Coturnix japonica: one gene and its partners. The protein of the gene in region 3 purifies or fractionates together with the protein of the main gene of each other region. This does not show direct contact. Links are inferred from orthologs where the notes say so. Each region holds a gene or a part of one and is shown on either strand. Other genes may lie near its edges.

Evidence for each region.
Region 1: the proteins of CTDSPL2 (region 3) and STK35 purify together in Homo sapiens (affinity purification with mass spectrometry; 3 studies listed by BioGRID and IntAct, counting the BioPlex papers as one, with this or other methods). This does not show direct contact. The link is inferred for Coturnix japonica from reciprocal best matches to the Homo sapiens genes CTDSPL2 and STK35.
Region 2: the proteins of CTDSPL2 (region 3) and PDIK1L purify together in Homo sapiens (affinity purification with mass spectrometry; 4 studies listed by BioGRID and IntAct, counting the BioPlex papers as one, with this or other methods). This does not show direct contact. The link is inferred for Coturnix japonica from reciprocal best matches to the Homo sapiens genes CTDSPL2 and PDIK1L.

What each region holds. Positions count from the first base shown.
Region 1 is NC_029535.1:9,249,308-9,253,594, reverse strand, and holds the start of STK35 (serine/threonine-protein kinase 35), read right to left. Parts: upstream 2,838-4,287; 5' UTR 2,455-2,837; coding exon 1,794-2,454; intron 1-1,793.
Region 2 is NC_029538.1:2,855,389-2,857,983, forward strand, and holds part of PDIK1L (serine/threonine-protein kinase PDIK1L), read right to left. Parts: intron 1,175-2,595; coding exon 434-1,174; 3' UTR 1-433.
Region 3 is NC_029525.1:17,942,750-17,946,400, forward strand, and holds part of CTDSPL2 (CTD small phosphatase-like protein 2), read right to left. Parts: intron 2,118-3,651; coding exon 1,991-2,117; intron 1,557-1,990; coding exon 1,461-1,556; intron 973-1,460; coding exon 907-972; 3' UTR 1-906. UniProt on the Homo sapiens protein: Probable phosphatase.

The DNA of each region.
Region 1 (4,287 bases), on a different chromosome or scaffold from region 3:
GCATAGCCTGCTATCCCGACAGTTATGCTCCTGATGCAGAAAGAGCCTCAGATTAATCCCCCCCCCTCACCCTGAGCCGGGCGCCTTGGCACAGCATCTGTGCAGCCTGTAAATAGCCACGCTGCAGTCGTGCAGAATGGCACGGCTGCCCGGCCACGTGCCCACTGCAGCCTCAGCCAGGAGAGCTGCGGGCAGGAAGGGAATATATGCAGCTCAGGGGCTCTCCTGGCTCTGCTGCTAACAATATTTATCAGTACGGTATCAAAGCCAAAGGTGGGGAAGGTGGTGAGCACAGCTTCTGTCCCTGCCTGGGGCCAGCAGATAACACAGCTCAGAGGGCAGGCACAGGGAGGGAGAAGATGAAGAGGGATCAGGACAGGCAAAGCTCTCCCAGCAGCAGGGAGGTGACTGTGCAAGGAACAGAAGGCACCTGCCTGCAGATGGGTGGGGAGCACCGACAGCTCCCCCAGAAGCCTTCTCTGAGGGATGCTGCCTGTCAGCATGGGGAGCAAGAGACCCCAAGCACAGGGAGCTCTCTGTGTGGAGGGCAGGCAGCCACCCCACAGGGCTGCACAGAGAATAGGATAGAGCCCTTCTTGGATGACTTGGATGCATGCATGAGGAGCAAAAAGAAGCCAGGTTCAGGGCCATGTGAGGACATACAGAGATCCAGACATGATCCCAAGGGTGTGGGAGCTGTGGATCTGCTCAGAGGGCAGCTCTGCAGCCTTCCACAATGTCCACAGCAGGGGACACCAAGCCAAGGGGCACAGGCAGCTGGAGAGACACTGGGGACACCCAGGAGATGGGGCTCCAGTATTTTTCCACTTCTTCACTGCATGTTGGCAGAGCTGGGCCTGACAGCAGCCAAAGGAGCAGAGGGAGGGAGCACTTTGGAGATGTCACCATCACAATCATTGGTGGTGGCAGGAGGTGACCCCAGCAGCCGCGTGATGCTGCCGAGGGGACCCAAGGGAAGGTGGCAGCCATCCCTATAGGGCAGAGTGGTGGAGAAATAGGGATGGGAGAGTACAGAGAACAGCCCCAAAACTGTCAGAGCCCACGGGAACACAGAGGGTGCCATGGAAGTGGGGTCACAGCCTCAGGGTGCTCAGAGATGGGGCTGAGAAGGGGAAGGACTGAGGGCAAGCACCGGGCTGTGGCACTGGGCAGAGCAGCAGAAATGGGGGTGCGATGGAGGCACAGGGGGACGTGCCTGAGCATGGAGGTGATAATGCACAAGGTTGGAGGGCTGCAGAGGGGAAAAGCAGAAGGAGGGGGGTGGGAAAACACAGCACAGTGCGGGCAATGCTGGGCTGAGTGGGGTAAAAAGTGCTAAAATAAAAGAGATAAAGGAGAGTTAAGCAAGATGGGGGCAGCCTGGGGAAAGGAGGAGGGAGGGGAGGAGGGCTCCTTGAGGGCAGAGGATGCCAAGGAGGAATTTAAGCAATGTGGGGGGAGAGAGGAAAAAAGGGGCACAATGGGAGCACCCATGTGGGGATCTCCAGAGCTGGAAGGCCAAGGGAGAGCACCCAGCAGCTCATAGAAGCTGGGGTAGGAAGGAGCTCTTAAGATAAGGGTTATAGGGACAGATCTGGAGATGGGAACCCCATGGCAGGAGGGGCCGGAGGCACAACGGGAGCACCCATATGGGGATCTCCAGAGCTGGAAGGCCAAGGGAGGGCACCCAGGAGCTGGGGTAGGAAGGAGCCCTTAAGATAAGGGATACAGGGACGGACCCGGGGATGGGAACCCCACGGCAGGAGGGGCCGGGGGTTGTTGTGTGCCGGTACCTTTGAGGGAGGTCTCCACCAGCCGCAGGTAGAGCTGGCTGCGCTTGTTGCCGTGGCTCATGCGCTGCCCCAGGCCGTGCCGCTGCAGCACACACTCCTCGAACCGCACCACGTTGGGGTGCTGCCTCCTCAGGCTGGTCAGCGCCCAGAACTCGGCCAGCGCCAGCTCCACGTTCTCGGGGGCGTCGCAACGGATCCTCTTCACCGCCAACCGAGCTCCGCTGCGGCTCGACACCGCCTCGTACACCACACCATAGGCCCCGCGGCCTATCTCTGCCAACAGCCGGTACCGAGGGACCCCCGCACCGCTACAGCCCGACCCCGGGCCCACCACCACCGCCGCAGCCTCCTCCTCCTCTTCCTCCGCCATGGGGCCGCGCCGCCTCCTCGCCGCCCTTTGTGTCCGTTTGCGGCCTCCGTCCGCCGTCTCCATAGCAGCGCGGTGGGGGCAGCCCCGCTCCCAGCCCCCCCCCGTCCGCCGGTCCCCGCGTGGAGCCGGGCCGGGCAGCGCCGAGCGGGACGGGGGGAGCGGCACCGAGCGACACAGGGCGGAAAAGCGCGCCCTGCCGGCCCCTTTAAGCGCTCGGCCAATCGCGGGGCGTCGGATCGTACCATCAACATTACGGGGGGGGATGGAGTGACGGAGACGGGACGTGAGCATCGTACCGAGAGGGAACGGAGGAGGAGAACCGGGGATGGAGGGGTGATAAGGGTGGTGAGGCCGCTAGTGCTGCCCGCCGGGCTGCTCGGTGCGGGGGGGATGAGAGCAGTGAGGGCACGGCCGGCCGCTCCCCCTGCGGAATGGTGTGCGCCGAGCGGCTGTAAACACTGCGGCCGTGGGGAGCGCAACGCCCGGTGCGGCCGGTGGGGTTTGTGTTGTTATGTAACGGGGGGCGGCACAGCCCCGCCTGGTCCGCAGGTAACGGAGCTCCGAGTTCTGGAACGTGGGCAGGGATGGTGACACCACCCCCATCATCCACCCCTCGGGTTGTCGGTGTCCAACACCGCTCATCCCGAGGGGGGCTTCATCCTAATGTCCGACCCCTGCCCCCCTGTAAGGCCGTGGGGAGCAGGGGCCGCCCACCCCACACCCCGTTATCCCCACACCCCGTTATCCCCCCATTACAGAACACAGTGGGGATGGGCGCACCCTGCGGTGTCTCTACGGGCTGCAATGACCCAACATGGGCAGCTCAACGCGTGTTTCCAGCTCCATTCCAAATCGAAGCCCCCTCCCCTCCCTGCATCATGCGGGGCTGCCCTCCGTCCGTCCCTGCTGCTCTCATCGCCCCTATTCCCCTCCCTGTATCCTCCCCCATCCCCGTATCCCTCCTTGCATCATGCGGGGCCGGCTCCAGCCCCGTGCCGCTGACGCTGTGTGCCGCTGTGCCGCTGCCTCCCACCCGCTGTAACACGCACTTTTCGTCCCCCCCCCCCCTTTTCCTCTCCGAACTGATGCACTTAAAGCAAAACTTAACTTTTCTATTACCGCACATTTCTCTTAGCCAGGTGTTTAATTACCATTGTCCCAGGGAAATGTCAGCGTGACTCACAGGCAGGTTCCCATTAGGAAGAGACGGATGAATATTAATTAACGCTCGCAGGTGGGTGGGTTCGGTGGCAGCGCCTTTCCCAAAAGGGCCGTGTCACCCCCACACCCACCCGGACCGCAGGGAGCTGAATGCGGCCGGATCTGCGCACATAGAAAACAATGGGGGCTGCGGTGCCTTGGGGATGGGAGAACCCGGATCTCTTCCTGCAGCAAGAGAGGTGGAGGCACCTGCTCCATCCCGTGCTCTTGGGGTTAGCTCAGCCACCAGGAGCCCCACTGCCTATGGAGCAATCACATGGGGATGGGGATGCTCCAGATGTGTGCTGGGAGCTGGTGCTGCTGCCAGCAGGGCTGCTTTTGGGATGCTCCACACCATGATCCCTGGGCATGATCACCTGGAGACGGGGCTCCCAGGGCAGCTACAGCAGGATGGGAACTAACAGTGCACCAGCAGGAGGTTGGGTTTGGGGGACGTGCAGGGTGAGACAGGAACTGCTTCTACTTTCAGCATGAGAACCCTCTGTGGAACCCCGTGGTGTTCAGTAGTGAGGGTGAAACCTCCTGGGGCTGCCCGCATAGCACTGAGGATGCCACTGTGGTTTGTGGCTGCTTTTTGTTCTCGGCTTTGTTCTGCACCTACAAACCTTCAGCTGGGGGTGAAAACACAGCTAACACAGCTGTCCTCTGCCTGTGCCTCCATGGGGACTGAGCATCCCCATCCCTGCAGCACTGCCACCTCCCAGCACAGCTTCTGCAGGTGACATCCCCTCCATCAGCCCTGGGAGATGCTCGGCCCTTGCTTCACCTCTCCATGCCCTGCTCCTTTAGTGCCTGAGTGAGCCCAAACCCACACCCAGCAAAACCCACGAAGTGCCACGTGCCGTCCATATGTGGCACCCCAAAGGTGGTGGCAGCAGTGCAGGCAACCAGCTCCCAGCCGTG
Region 2 (2,595 bases), on a different chromosome or scaffold from region 3:
ACGCTCTCAGTCACCCATATGCATAAATACATAGACAATTACTTTACAAACCTGAAGATCTGCACTACCAGCATGCAAATCTCTTCTTCCAGGAGAGTTCCTAATACTGATATAGGAAACTGGAATGTATTAAATACTCTGAGATATGGCCGGAAATCAAACCTCAGCTCCTAGGATGTCCCACTGCCAACGTACACAAATGAACATTGTCACATCTTAAGACTTAACACATAACATCCTGGAAACAAAACACAACGCATCGCTAACACAACTGCCAACTCACATTCTTAGAACGAGCGGAACTCAAACAAAATTCCATCAATAGAAACTACACCCTGCGGGTCTGAGATCGGCCTCGTTTCTTTACTGCCATTAAGTTGCACCATCAGCTGGGCAAGGAGCAGCTCCTTCCAAGAGACCACCACTCTGCAGGTCATGTGTCCCAGCTGCTGTCTTTAAAAGCTATGTTGACTAATCGCAGCTCTAGTTCAAAAGCATCAGGACGGTCCTGCGGGTTGGCAGCCAGCATTTCCTTAATCAACTGTTTCATCTGTGCATTCATGGATTTTTTCTTTACGGGGATGAGCAGTTCCATCTTAGGGTTTTCTAGCAGTGCCTCTCCAACGGGCACAATGGCTGTCCCCTGTTTGACGTAACTACCCAGGAGTTCTTTCTTTGTCTCTGTGTCTACGAATGTGATTCTTTCTAGCATTGCCCAGATTATGATCCCCAGTGCAAAAATGTCTGCTTTGGCAGTGTAGTGTCCTTCCCAGACTTCGGGGGCCATATAGAAGTCAGTCCCACAGGCAGTCGATAGAAAACACTTATTTACGTTGACTGGTTCCTCAGGATTCTGGCCTGAAGCTGAACATACCTTACTCAGCCCAAAGTCAGCTACTTTCAATGTGGGCTCCAAGTCACTGGCATCCATCCTGCTCTGCGATATCAGAATATTGTCAGGTTTGAGATCACGATGGATAATCTGATTTTTGTGCAGGAAAGCCAGCGCACTGCTGAGCTGAAGCATGAAACTGGTGTTGGTCTTGCGGTTAGGTTTTCGAGACAACAGATACTCATTCATATCTCCTCCATCACAGAAATCCATTACAAACCAAAGGTAATAAGCACTTCTGGGGTCAAAGACTATTTCTCCTTTTAATGAGGTCTCTACAAGCTGCAATAAGGAAAAGAAGTGTCACAACTACCCGATGACCACAGAAATAGAAAGATATGATGGAAAAACAAAAAAAAAGCACACATTTTGGATCTTCCTCTCAACAGCTCAGAGAGTAAGGTATTGCCAAACGAGTTCATGCAAAACTTATGATGTAAAAAGGAAAAAAATCACAATGTATTTGTTATTTCTGTGTGCGTGTGAAGCATATCAACCTCACGCTCCTACCCAGAAGCCAGAGCCAGCCCCAGATAACAGCTTTCTGAAGGATATCAAGCAGTCCTTGCACTCCCATCTGTTTCGGCTGGCCAGCGTCCCACCCATTTTGCTAACTCCAAATACAAACACAGCCCCAACCATGAACCCCTGCACAGCAGCACAGGGCTGGGTTTGTCCTCTGCTTATAAGGCGGCCTCACTACACGTTCTTAAGAGCCTGCCCTCCATCCCTGACACGTGAATGCATTCTAGCAAGCGTTAGCACAGGATCTCTTAGCTCAGGAGAATGCTAATCCATAGGCACAGCTCAGCAGCTGCTGTAGCAACACCTTTCTCACTGCAGCACACTAGAACATAAGCAGAGAACAACTCCAGCAGCCAGTCCCAGTGGCCACTTTGTACAACGTGCAATATAAACCAGCAACTCTGCTTGCTCTCTGTTCACACAGCTACAAACCTGTCTTTTCAGCTCCTCTGAGGTGGCTCTTTGCACACTCTGGAATGTCAGACTTGCTAGTTAGCACTAAACCAGTGTTTACTAAAGCAGATGCAGCCTCTATAGGCCTTCAAAAGTGAATACAGCTATTAATACATAGAGAAACTTTAAAAAGTCTTCCTTCTCCCAAACCAAGAGCAAAATTAGTAACAAATGATAGCTACGTTTAGTTGTGAGCACAGTTAGTACTCAAACCAATTTAAGAGCAATTCTGTGTTAGCACTTAAACTGTATACTCAGGGTTTACAGCCAATAACAGCAAGATGGGAACCACAGCACAGGAGGGAGCAACTCCAACACAGAGCTCTTCCCACACTGGAGCTGTAATTGGGTCTCAGCTCAGAGCATCCAGATGACAGAATCCACCTCCAGATCTGGGACTGCGGCACAAGGAAGCCACACCAGCTCAGAGCTCACTACATAAGCCTGGTTCTGCTTATGTCTCCTGAAGCACTGCAGGAGACACCAACAGCCCTTCCCAGGCCTCCTCACACTACACCAGCTCAGCCTGGTAATGTAATATCACCTGGAGTGGGCAGAAGAGAGAGCAAGCCAAGGGAGATCTGGGTTTCTCTCTTTCAGCATAGGCTATCATAAAGTGATCTCTGCACTCAGCTCTGCCCTTTGCTCTTCTCTGCTCTTTGGAGCAAGAAAACAACCTGCAGCACTTGTGCCCCAAACACGGGCAAGGTCTGCATGCTGCACTG
Region 3 (3,651 bases):
CTGAGGTATTCCTTGTCCATCGGCTGTTTGTGCCACTGCAAGATACTGTCTGTCGGAGTACGCGCCATCACAATGGTTTAACAAATTCTGAATATTAGGAATTCATATCTTCTTCTTATCTAGCCAGTCTCTTGATTTTTGAAAAGATTCCAACTACAGTAGAATATTACAGAAACAAAAAATAAATGCAGGGCTTTTCTTTCTAAATGAAACTTACATGGATTAAAACTAGAGAGTATTTTTAAACAAATATACAGTATGCAGGCAGACGAAGCAGGAAAACGGCCATTCGACTGTATAATAAAAAACTAAGAAAATTCGGCTATTCCCAGAAAAACTATGAAGCGCCTCAACTAAAAGGAATGCATAATGAAATTCTAATCTAATACAGGTCAAAGGGTGTAAAAAGGTTATAAACCTTAACAGGAAAAATAAAAACAACTTTTACTGGCCATTCCTGTTGAAATGAGAATCTCCAAAGTAACAGAAAAGTGGCTACAAACCCACTTAGAGCACCGAACAGAGAGAAAAGAAGAGTCTTTTTTTTTTCAATCTCTGTTATATCATAAAATCCTGTGTTTCTACAGGTCAAACTGCTGGTGGCAGAAACAGAACTCTTTATAAACTGCAGATGTCCTGTACATAAAAAAAACTCATCGGAGTCGCACTAGTTCTAAAGACTTTTCTGTTCTAGCCTACCTACCGCGTTGTACTGTATTGTACTGTTTGTATTCAATCTCAGATATAGAAAGTCTCTTTCTGTAACCCTTGATTATTGTTGGGCACCAAAGATAAGAAAAGCAAGACGGGGTACAAAAATGCAAAATTTCAACAGTAATGGCAATGTTTTGTTTCAGTCCAAAAGGGTCCTGCATTTTCTCCCCCTCCAGTAATCAGACCGAAGGCTTAATCTGGGGGTAGCAAGTCATGCAAGCGAAATCTGTCTCTGATGTGAGGTCGGACATCTTCATTCTGCAGGGAAAACACACGTGTGGGCGTTAGAAGAATGAGCACCTCCACAGATCGGATCATAGCAGGGCCAAACCTCCAACGTCTGTGTATTAATATAACAAAATGGAAGCCGTGGATGTCGCTAATAACAAGAGGCTGACAAGAACAGATACATAACATACACAACCATTTAGGAATAGAATTATTTCCATTTTAAGAACAAAGACAACGACGGGCAGTATTTAACCTACACTTCTATAAATTCTCTATTTCATTACAACTTATGTCACCATTTTCCAGTTTCTGATTGAAAGCACAGTTGGAAATGACGCCATTCTGCCTCCTGCTATGTGAGTGCATCCCCACACAAACTGGAGTAACACTCTCCTTCCCGCAGTCACAATCTCAGCCACTCAGGATCTTAAAGTATGTGGTGCTGTTTGACAGAGCAAACCAACACATTGGGCTGGGAGTTGTGAGAACAACAAGCGAAAGAGAGACAGACTTACCAGCTCTACAAGTTTCTCCAGAAATGGAATCAATTTTAGGAGTTCATTGTCATTCTTATCCATGAACCAGCTTTCGATAGGAATTCCATTTGAAAGCTAAAGTTTAAAAAAAAAAATAAAAAAATCATCAATATGTTACTTCTATTTTATTTACCTAAAAATGTGGCTTGTGAAATAGCATTTTGGGGAGAAAAGTTTCCAAGCTCAAGTTTATTAATACGTATTTTTCCTCTACAGTTTGTACTAAAAATCACTTCTGCAACGAGTCTGTCCTTTGCATAAACCATCACAATTCTTTCATCCAAAACCATCACAATTGCATCAACAATCACAATTCAAAGCTGAACTGGATAACTTTGGGCTGTAGGACTCCTGTTGCACTGAGAAGCGTTGGCACATTGATCAGGTTTTAGGTTCAAACTACACAGATACCGACTGAGCACTGGCTGCACTTTGTGCAAACGGGCTTCTGGTGTTTAGGCTCCCACTGCTTCCACATCCAAAAGCTTTGCTGATGGCAGCTTGCTTACCTGATAGGCAAAGGCTTGCGGTGAATTGTCAATGATGATCGTTTTTGAAAGATCTCTTCCAAGAATGTTTAAATCCTTTATGTAGTTTCCTTGCACACAGACACAATGCTCACGGAAAAGTCGATGCCTGTGATTAGATCAGAATACTCATTAATGAGAGAAACTGCACCACCTATATGGCACAGGGAAAAAGAAAAGTCAGTGCTGCCAAATGTTGTCCACTTTTTTCCCTTCTGACCAGATTCCTAAAAACTGTCTCACATTTTGAGTGTTTCCCTCTAAGATGAGCGGCTAACCTGACTTTACGTTATTTAGCTCTCCAGGGAATTGTTTTGTATCTAAACAGAAAAGTTCAGCTCAGGCACAACAAACATCTGTCACCGTGGTCTGACTTTCTAACCCTTTCTGCAGATGAAATGACAGAGGGGCCCAAGATACTGGAAGGATTTTGCAAGGCTCAAACCACAGGGATGAGTTCTGCACTCCAAACAATTCACAAGGTTTGTCCTTTCTGTTCTGCTCCAAACACTGCAGCACACGCTGGGAAGTGCTGGACGGAACGTTCTCCTGCTGAGGTTACCTCTGCTGGCAATTAACCTATTTTCAGTTTTTAGAGCTTGAAAAAAGCCTCGAGGCCAAAACATTCCATCAACTTCTTCCTTTCCAATTAGTATATTCTCTTTTATTACTAATTAATTAGTAAATGGATTGGTAGAATAGAAGAACTCATTAAGAGGAGCAGGAATAAAACAAATGTCATGAAAGATCAGTATAATCGTAATTACCAATCAGCTGTGCACTGGATAGATTTCAGATTTGACAATGTAATATTACCCCACTGCAGTTTCTTTAAGGCTGCTTATATATTTCAGCAGAATTTTTAGAAGCTGCACACAGTGTGCTTACTACTTTCATGAAGGGAATGAGTTCCTAATGTTGCTAAGGAAGAAAATAAGCTGATGCCTCAGCAGCGAATGAATGTATATATAGATTCTGAGTCACACGTGTGGAGTGCCTGACAAATCCACAGTTAGGCTCGTGTCAGAACTCATCGTGCCCTGATGTCAGCTTCTCTGAGGCACATGACTCACAGCTACATTCACACACCACACAAATTTCAGAGAATCTCTGAACCTTCTTAGCATACAGCCTGCCTGCCTGCCTTGTTACCTCTGCTGTTCACAGCACAGATAAAACTGCAGTCCTCAGTCCTAAGTATCAGAGCCTTGGAGGGAAAACCATCACGTTACGGATGCACATGGACTCATTTTCTGTAAGCACCGACCCTGTACTTGTTGGTACATCCTGTCTGGCTGGTCAGATATCCCAGCAATATGACATCCCAGCACTGACTCTCAGTCCTAACTACAGCCAAGTGCAGTTCTTCATGCCCCTCATTAGAATACCCTATTTAGAATGAATCCCTGAGAAACCCCCTCTCCACTTTCAGCTTTCCCATGTAGCAGACTGCCTTGCAGATGAGGGTAACAGAAATTCATCCATTAGGATTTGTCACGTTTTAAGGGCTGCTCCTGAGAAACATTAATCTCTTCCAAACAAAGCTCAGCATTAGCAAAACAAATGTAAAACCAAAATAACTGCACTATAAAACTCACAGATTATTTTGCGATTGAATAAGAAACAGCATTTATAAAGGTAAC